Nothobranchius furzeri: one gene and its partner. Each later gene encodes a partner of the first gene's protein in a complex. Links are inferred from orthologs where the notes say so. Each region holds a gene or a part of one and is shown on either strand. Other genes may lie near its edges.

Region 1 (4,283 bases):
AGCCGAAGAGGAACAAAAACAACGAAGGGATGAAGTCAGGAAGGTTTAGAAGGGCGGACCAAACCATCCCTCCAGGGAAGTGTCTGCATGCAACACCTGGGTGGGGGGTACAGTACAAACACCTGCGTGTCACGTTACCATGTGATTAAAAACAAATAAAGTCAGAAGCAGAGAAACTGTCCTGCTGGGTTTAGTGTCTTTTTTTTTTTTTTACAGCTTAAGTATAAAAGCAGGAGGACCTGCTGTCGCTCCTGTGAGTGTTTTTAAAATCCTCCTCCTTCTCCCGCCAACCCCACCGGCTCACAGGGAGAAGCGGAGTGACGTGTGTAGTGTGGCTGGAATCCAGAATCCTAAAAGGTTTCAAACCAGGAAGTGTTGGTTCTGTACATCAGTTAGTGTCGTTAACGATCACGATCACCATGTGCTCCTCCTCCAGATTACCCACAGTCCTCTTGGCTGTCTGCAGAAACTGCTGAGAGAACTCTCCTGGGGGGAAGGCATAGAGCATGGCGCCCGGCCCACCCTCCTTGGCACTGGGCAGGCTCACCACACCGGCCGCCTCTTTGTTCCGCAGGTACGTCACCAGGTGGCGCAGCAGGCGCACCTGCAATCCTGGCTCCAGACCCGGGGTCTGGCGGTCCACAGGGCCCTGCAGAGCCAGCAGGATGGCAAAGCCATTGGGGCGGCCCACCTTGATGCGGCGCGAAACCTCGTCGAGCCGGGCCTGGTCCATGCGCAGCCGCTGAGCGATCTTTAACTGGCTCAGCTGATTCTTGCTCGGCTGCTTCAGGCTGTCCTTCATCACAGTGTTGAAGAAGGACACGCCCCCCTCCAGCAGGAACAGGTCTGTAGGAAAGCTGCTGTTCTTCAGGGTGAACAAGCCTCTCCACATCCTGGAGAGCATGCTCTGGGCAAACTCCAACAGCGTGCCGGGGGGTGAGGAGGCGTCTGTGTGGGCTGCAGGAGAAGCCGAGGCATTGGCCTCACTGTTCCGATGGTGGTGGTTGTTCAGCTGTTCGCTGGAGGCCCTCTTGCTGTGATGGTGGCTGGAGGGAGGCTCTTCTTCGTTGGTGGACTGCCTTCCAGCTCCTCCGTTGTCAGGGGAATGGTCTCGGGGTTCTGTGGTGGAGTCGGGAGCTCGGACCCGAGCTCGGTCCGGACTCGCTTCAGGAGAGACGGCTCCACCAACACCACGAACCCTTGACCTCCCCACCTCCTTCTCCTCCGTCTGCCTTTCTGCTGACAGACTACTGCTCCTCCTCCTGTTCCTCCTCTCCTCCCTCTCCTTCAGCCAACGTTCCCTGCTCTTGCTACGACTCCTTGCTGCTCTCCCACTCCTCCCAAACGCCTCCACCCCTCCGGACCTCCTCTCCAAGCTGCGGGTGGGGCTGCTGGGAAAGTCTCTCTCCAGCAGGGCCCTCTCCCTCAGGGAGAGCAGGCTGTGAGCAGGGGGAGAACGCTCCCTGGCCCCCCGTAGCTCCTGTTCAAGGCTGCGATGGCGGCTGTATGCCTCTCCAAGAAGGTCATAGTGGGAAGGGAGTGTAACGGGCGTCTGGTAACCAGGAGGAAATGGGCGCGACGGGCTCTCCTCCACCTTAGCAAAGTCCACCCTGAGCCGGTGCTCTGGGCCCCCCAGAGGGAAGCCCCTCATCTGGGTGCAGGCGGCCTGAGCTGCATCCAGACTCTCGTACTGGATGTAGGCAAAGCTGTCCCCCTTCACGTAGTCAATGTTCCGTATGCTGCCAAAGCGATCAAACTCTCGAGCCAGGGCAGCCAGTGGGTTCCCGGGCCCCAGCCCCCCCACCCAGAGGCGGGTGGTGGGGTTGGCTTTGCCGTAACCGATCTTTATGGGGTTCCCACCCATCAGCCGGCCCTGCATGGCCACTTTGGCACGGTGGGCCATGTCCAGGTTCTGAAACTTCACAAACGCATAAGCCCCGCCCTGTCCACGTGCCGGGCGTTTGATCACCACTTCCTCAATGATGCCATATTTATCAAACCCCCTCCGGAGCTCAGCTTCCGTCACGTTCCCATCCAGGTTACCGATGAACAGGTTACTGGTCGCCCGCTGGTCATCCTCCGGCTTCAAGTCCTCCACCACTGGCATGGGGGGCAGGCCGTAGGGCCGCCCCCTCTCATCCAGCATCCCATAGTAGTCCAGCAGCCGGTCCCGGTCTCTGCTCAGACCCAGGGTCTCCAGGGCGTAGTGTCTGGCTCTCAGTTCCCGGAGGTTGCTGACCCCGGGGACAGGGGGGGACAGGGAGCGCTGCCTGTACGGATAGGGGGCGTGGAGGGGTAAATAACCCACGTCCGGTGGGGTGACACTCCGCCTCCGTACGTACATGGGCTCTATCTTCAGCTGGCGCTCTCCCAGAACCAACCTGGAGGATTTGGCGTGCCTGGCCTCCTTGGCATCCTCCGGGTGTCTGAAGTTAACGTAGGCGATCCGGCCAAGCTCCGGTGTGTGCGACAGCTTCACGCTCACATCCCCGAACTTTTTAAATTCGTGAAACAGCGAGTCCTCCACGTCCTCGTCCGACACCTGCGAGCCCAGGTTACTGATGAGCAGCGTTTTATACTCCAGCGTGCCCGGCCGGGGGGCGGGGAGCTCTGCTGCCGAGGTGCGGAGCGGTGGACGGCCGAGGAGGCTGAGCTCATGTCGGTGGTGGAGCTCCAGGGCGGCCGCCCTCTCCTCCCTGAGCCGCGGCTTCTCGCGTTCCCGGCTCCGGCGGCGGTAGCTCCTGCTCTCCGCCAGTAAAAGCGCCAGCGGCGGCGGGGGCAGCTCCTCTCTGCGGCTGCTCTCCCGCTCCCGTGTCCGTTTAGCGATGGCCCTGGACGGACTGCTCTCCCTGCCGGCCTGCCGCTTCATTTTCTCTGGAGGACGGATCGGAAACTTTTCGGTGTCCGCAGCGGGATTCCGGGAGCGTTAGCGGGAGCGAGGCTACGGAGGACGGGCTCAGGGGGAAACGCGGTTCCACGGCATCCGCTGACGTTCGGCTCATTTACGGATAAAAACCAGAAAAGGTTTAAAAACAAAAACTGCATCAGTGGAGCTTCAGCAGCGCCGCCATCTTGGACAATAGGAATGTGCGCGTTCCCCGAGGACGGAGAACTCGATGACGCAAGCACGTCGCGCGTTACCGTCGCTTCACGTTTAAATCTTTATTTGTTTACATAAATAAGTTTATTATTGAAATGATGGAGAATATGCCCACATCATTTAGTCCTGATCTAGAATCCAGAAGTCCCAATCCAGCGCAAATCTCTTGTTAAATTGGTTTAGATGGAATATTCCTGGGACCAAAACATTTCCAGAGACGTTTTTTTTAACTCTGACCTCTTAACAGTAGAAAAATGTTCCTAACTCAAGGGATGAGACAGAGTGGTGGTATCACCCACAGGACGTTAGGCGGCGTTCTTTTGGTTTAAAGGAATTTCTCAGAGAAGGAAAATATTTTTGCCACAAAATGAATTAGACGTAGATGGATTAATTCAGATTAACAATGGATTTGTGAGATTGATGTGGTCATCATGCCTCTGAGGTTTATTACTGAGGACCACTCCAGTGTCCAGTGGGACAGTCTTCTTTATCCACCAGGAGGTTGGAACATTGGTACACCTTCATTTATAAAGCAATGCTTGGATTACTACCCACCTACATCTGTAACTTAATCTCAAGAAGTGTAAGTCCTCAGTCTGGAAGAAGACGATCAGCTGTTACTTTGTGTTCTGTTTGCTCGCACCAATCTGGGCTAAAGGTCTTTTGTTCACTCTGCTCCTTCTGCATGGAACAGGCTGCAGGAAAACTGGGAATTAGTTTTTTTTCTCCTTGACTACATTTAAAACCAGACTGAGAACCCTTGAGAGGATTCTGTGTTGTAACTGCCTTCTGTAATCTAGTGCATAACATGTCTGTGGAGCTGAAACAACTTCTGCTGCCTCTGGGCCAGGACTGCCTTGGAAATGAGGTTTTTCATCTCAATGGGACCTTCCTGGTTAGATGAAGAATAAATCTGTTACTAACATCTAGATTTGGTCTAAAAAGATGTTCTGAGGAAATCCAAAGTTAATCTTGGATTAAGATTGGATGGAATTCTAGATTTCTCCTCTTCTGGGCAGAATGACAGGAAGGACCAGGGATCAGGTCTGAGCCGGACCTCCAGCCTCTCGGGACGATCCATACAAGCACCAGGGTTCTGGGCAAAGCTCGGTTCTCACAGAGGTGTACCCGAAATCCATCTACTGTTCCAAACCAATCCTAAACTTTCTAATCTGTCGGTGAA
Region 2 (3,816 bases), on another chromosome or scaffold:
AACACAAACCATGTTGTAGTTTTCTCCTGCTTGTTGTTGTGTTTACTGACGAAGTCACTCGTGTGACTTCGTGCTCGGTCGGTGACAGCTGCTCCCCTGCTGCTTCGCGTCTCGTGGGAAGGGCCAAGCAGCAGCTTACGCGAGCAAGACGTGCTGCTGCAGTAACGTGCAGCTGACGGCTCCCGTGGAAACCCGGGGTGAGAAGGTTGCAGGTTCGATCTCAGCGGTGGCATTTCTGCACGTAAACGTTTCCTCCCACAGATCAAAAACATGCACGTCGGTTACAGTGATCAGTTTTATGTGCTGCAACAATGAGGTGATTTCAGAGTGAATTAAAGTTGTTTGTGTTTCGCAGGGCTTCATATGACAGTTCAGCCCCTCCTCTCAAAAAGAAGCCACAAACTGAGGGAGAGGACACCGAGGAAGATGTGGAAGAACAGAAGGTGAGTTTAATCTAGAGATGCACCAAAAAGATCAGCTGGTGATCAGAGCAGGTCATAGTTTCGTGTGATTGGCCAATCTGAAACTTCAAAATCAGCTGTTGGTGGTGAGTGAGCAACAAGGAAAATGTGACATGTCTCTGGGGCCATAAAAGCACTAATGGAAATAACTGATCAATGAGACAGTCACAATTTTTTAATTGGTCAGAAATGAATTTGAGATCTTTCAGGTGAATCAGAAGCTACAAAGATCTTTACCAGCTGTTCAAATATTAGTAAAACTCTACAGGTTTCACCCTGAATCTTTGACATCACACACACACACACTTATGCCTTTTAATGTTAACCTTAAACCTGAGGCTTTTGCACAAACCGATTAAAACACGTGTGGTGAAAACTGGTTGGGTGGGTTCTGAGTGGATGTGGACTTTCACAATTATATGGATGACGCAGTTTTCCTGTGGGGTTTCACGGCTTCAGGGCTCAATAATTAACTGGATGTTTTTGTTTAGCAATCTTAACAAAGCATCTCCAGGACCTCACTTTAAAGAGCAAGTCACCCCCAAATCAACCTTCTTGTTTGCTGCTAAACCATACAAATGAGTGTCTAATTGTGCTGTAGTCACATGTGGTCTATAATTTGGCACAATTAAAATATTCAGCCTAAAACGCGACCCAACTTCAGATAAGCGGCTGAGGATGGATGGATGGATGGATGGATGGATGGATGGATGGATGGATGGATGGATGGATGGATGGATGGATGGATGGATGGATGGATGGATGGATGGATGGATGGATGGATGGATGGATGGATGGATGGATGGATGGATGGATGGATGGATGGATGGATGGATGGATGGATGGATGGATGGATGGATGGATCATTAGTCACACCAAATGATACAGATGCATTTAAGCTTTGGTGATACCTTTTAAAGACTAAATGTGTTTATTTCTTTTCTTTAACATTGAATCCATGTTTCTTTTTAAATAGCTTTTATGATCCAGTTGCTTTCAGGTTTCAACCACATGTTTAAATACAAAAATGTGTTTTCCTATTTTTGTCCGTGTGACAGGATGAGGTGGAAGTTCAGCAGGAGGATGAAACCAACCCCTATGAGGAAGTATATAAGGACTCCAGTACGTTCCTCAAGGTTAGAACACCTTCATTTGAGCTCATTTAGCTTTCCTGGTGTCTTATCTCACTTCATTCGCTTTTCTTAGAAATTCCATGCATGTTCGGTTCATCAAAGTTATGCCGGTTCATGGAGTTTATGATGTCATTGAACTTAAACGGTGACAGCCGTTACATTAGAGAGAAGTGTTAATGAAAGGTTACTGGGAATCATCTTAAAACAACAACAACAACAAAAGAGTCAGCAGAGCAGTAACAGGGAATAGCAAGCCATGTGATGCTTGTAAATATCAGCAGGTCCCATTGTTTACATCTGCATTACCAGCGTCCAGTTCTCACTCAGTTCCAGTTAGATCGGTGGTTTTGGTGACATTGTTTCCATTTCCTGGTAAGATGTTCAACTGAGAAACATTTTTGATGACTGTGGGTCGTTTGTTTTTTGTTGACTGTTTCCTACATAGTTACCAAATGCACACTGATATGCAGTAGAAACGGCCCTGCCAACAGGATTGTTGTGAAACATTCACATTATTTATGTAATCCTTTAAAGTACGTATTGTCCAGACTGGGGTTGTCACGGTGTGAAAATGTAACCTCACGGTTATTGTGACCAAAATTACCACGGTTTTCGGTATTATCGCAGTATTTTTTTTAAACGTGCTACATTTTCACACAATTAAATAAACCTGTATGTCAGGAAATATTGTCCTCAGTTTGTCTAAATTTTGCCTGAAATGTGTTATTTTGTAATTATGTTATTTATTTGTTTACATTTTTTCCCTTTAGTCTTTAAAATACCAATATTTGCCCATAACTTCTTATTTTGTGTCTGTTTGATGACATCATTTTAAAAATATTAGATCAGATGATACTCAGTACTCAAGTAGCCTTCTAATCAGATACTTTTTTTTACCCTTACTTGAGTACTAAACCCTATATCATGAAAATATCGTCCTCGGTTTGTGACCTTCCAGTGAGCTTTGCAGATGTGGGAAAATGTCATCAGGCAGTAATCGTTGTTAAATTCATAATTATTCTCGGAGAGAGACCAACTCTTATCTGCCCCTGGGAGCCCCGTAATGCATAGCGTCATTTCAACATGGCGGTGTCCGCGACACGGTTTATATGCAGGTAGCGGCGCTGCGGCTGCTTTATATAGCGACTCGTTGCATTCTCCCTCAGCCCAAATCCTCGGATCACGCATTTTAGCTAAAACGCTAACGTTAGCTTGCCTTGCGTTGACTGTAGAGTTGTGGGTGATGGTCACGCAGATGTGTCATGAGATTTGAAGCGTTGCTGCCTTCCACAGACACTTTTTCCTGCACCTGCTGCAAACAGCATAGCCGTCTTCTATCAACTGTCCCTCGGCATTCTTCAAATATCCAAAGGATGCCCGTACTTCCCACTTTGTCTTCTTTGAGGGATAATACATGTCCTGAGTGCTGCCGTCTCCTCCTTTGGCCATTATTTCAGCTTTAGCTTCAAGAAAGTTTTGGTTGTAAACAACAAAGTGCGCATGTGCCGCTGGCAACTTCAGCAGATGATACGGTGGCTGGTAAGGGTCACCGCGCCTACACCGCAGCCACGGTAATCCACCGAGATAATATAGTTTTTTTAAAAACAAGACGGTTATTATTATTGTCAACTTTTTTTACCGGGGTTTACCGCTACACCGGTTACCGTGACAACCCTAGTCCAGACTAAGTATATTGCCACGCTCTGGCTGTTGAAAAGGCATAAAGCACATCTGTCATCACTGGCTTTTTACTGTCTGAAATCTGAGCTGCAAATATTTATGACGGCTGCGTGTTTTTGTGTAAGTCTAGGTTACATCCTAAAAATAGTCCCACATTATCAGTAAACGGCGTCAGCGGTGGTTAAGCTTTCAGATAAACACGTTTTATTTTAGCCGTGGTTCCCAAACCTGAAGCACGAGTTTTGGTTGGCATGTTGACTTGATGCTTGACAATGTGCCTGGAACATTTCCAACTAAATCATGTGATTCCCTGAGCTCCAAGCAGAGCTCATTGTCAGTGTAAACAAACAACAGGTTAACAGTTGCTCGGTTTGGTTTTGTAAACAAAATCTGTTAGTTGGTCCACCCAAGAGGATAAAAAGACTAAGAACTAATCTAGTTGTGTTATTGTCATACGCACTGGATTAAATGTGTGTTTTATAATAATGTCAGCCACCAGGGCTCCGTGGCCAGCCTCGTGGTGCACCATGAGAGGATCTAAA

What was found.
Region 2: rbm15b (region 1) and mettl14 share a complex: the UniProt entries of both Homo sapiens proteins name them as parts of the WMM complex. The link is inferred for Nothobranchius furzeri from reciprocal best matches to the Homo sapiens genes RBM15B and METTL14.

The regions. Positions count from the first base shown.
Region 1 is NC_091743.1:78,034,878-78,039,160, forward strand, and holds the start of rbm15b (putative RNA-binding protein 15B), read right to left. Parts: upstream 3,106-4,283; 5' UTR 2,870-3,105; coding exon 389-2,869; 3' UTR 1-388. UniProt on the Homo sapiens protein: RNA-binding protein that acts as a key regulator of N6-methyladenosine (m6A) methylation of RNAs, thereby regulating different processes, such as alternative splicing of mRNAs and X chromosome inactivation mediated by Xist RNA.
Region 2 is NC_091746.1:78,162,906-78,166,721, forward strand, and holds part of mettl14 (N(6)-adenosine-methyltransferase non-catalytic subunit METTL14), read left to right. Parts: intron 1-355; coding exon 356-443; intron 444-1,519; coding exon 1,520-1,597; intron 1,598-3,816. UniProt on the Homo sapiens protein: The METTL3-METTL14 heterodimer forms a N6-methyltransferase complex that methylates adenosine residues at the N(6) position of some mRNAs and regulates the circadian clock, differentiation of embryonic stem cells and cortical neurogenesis.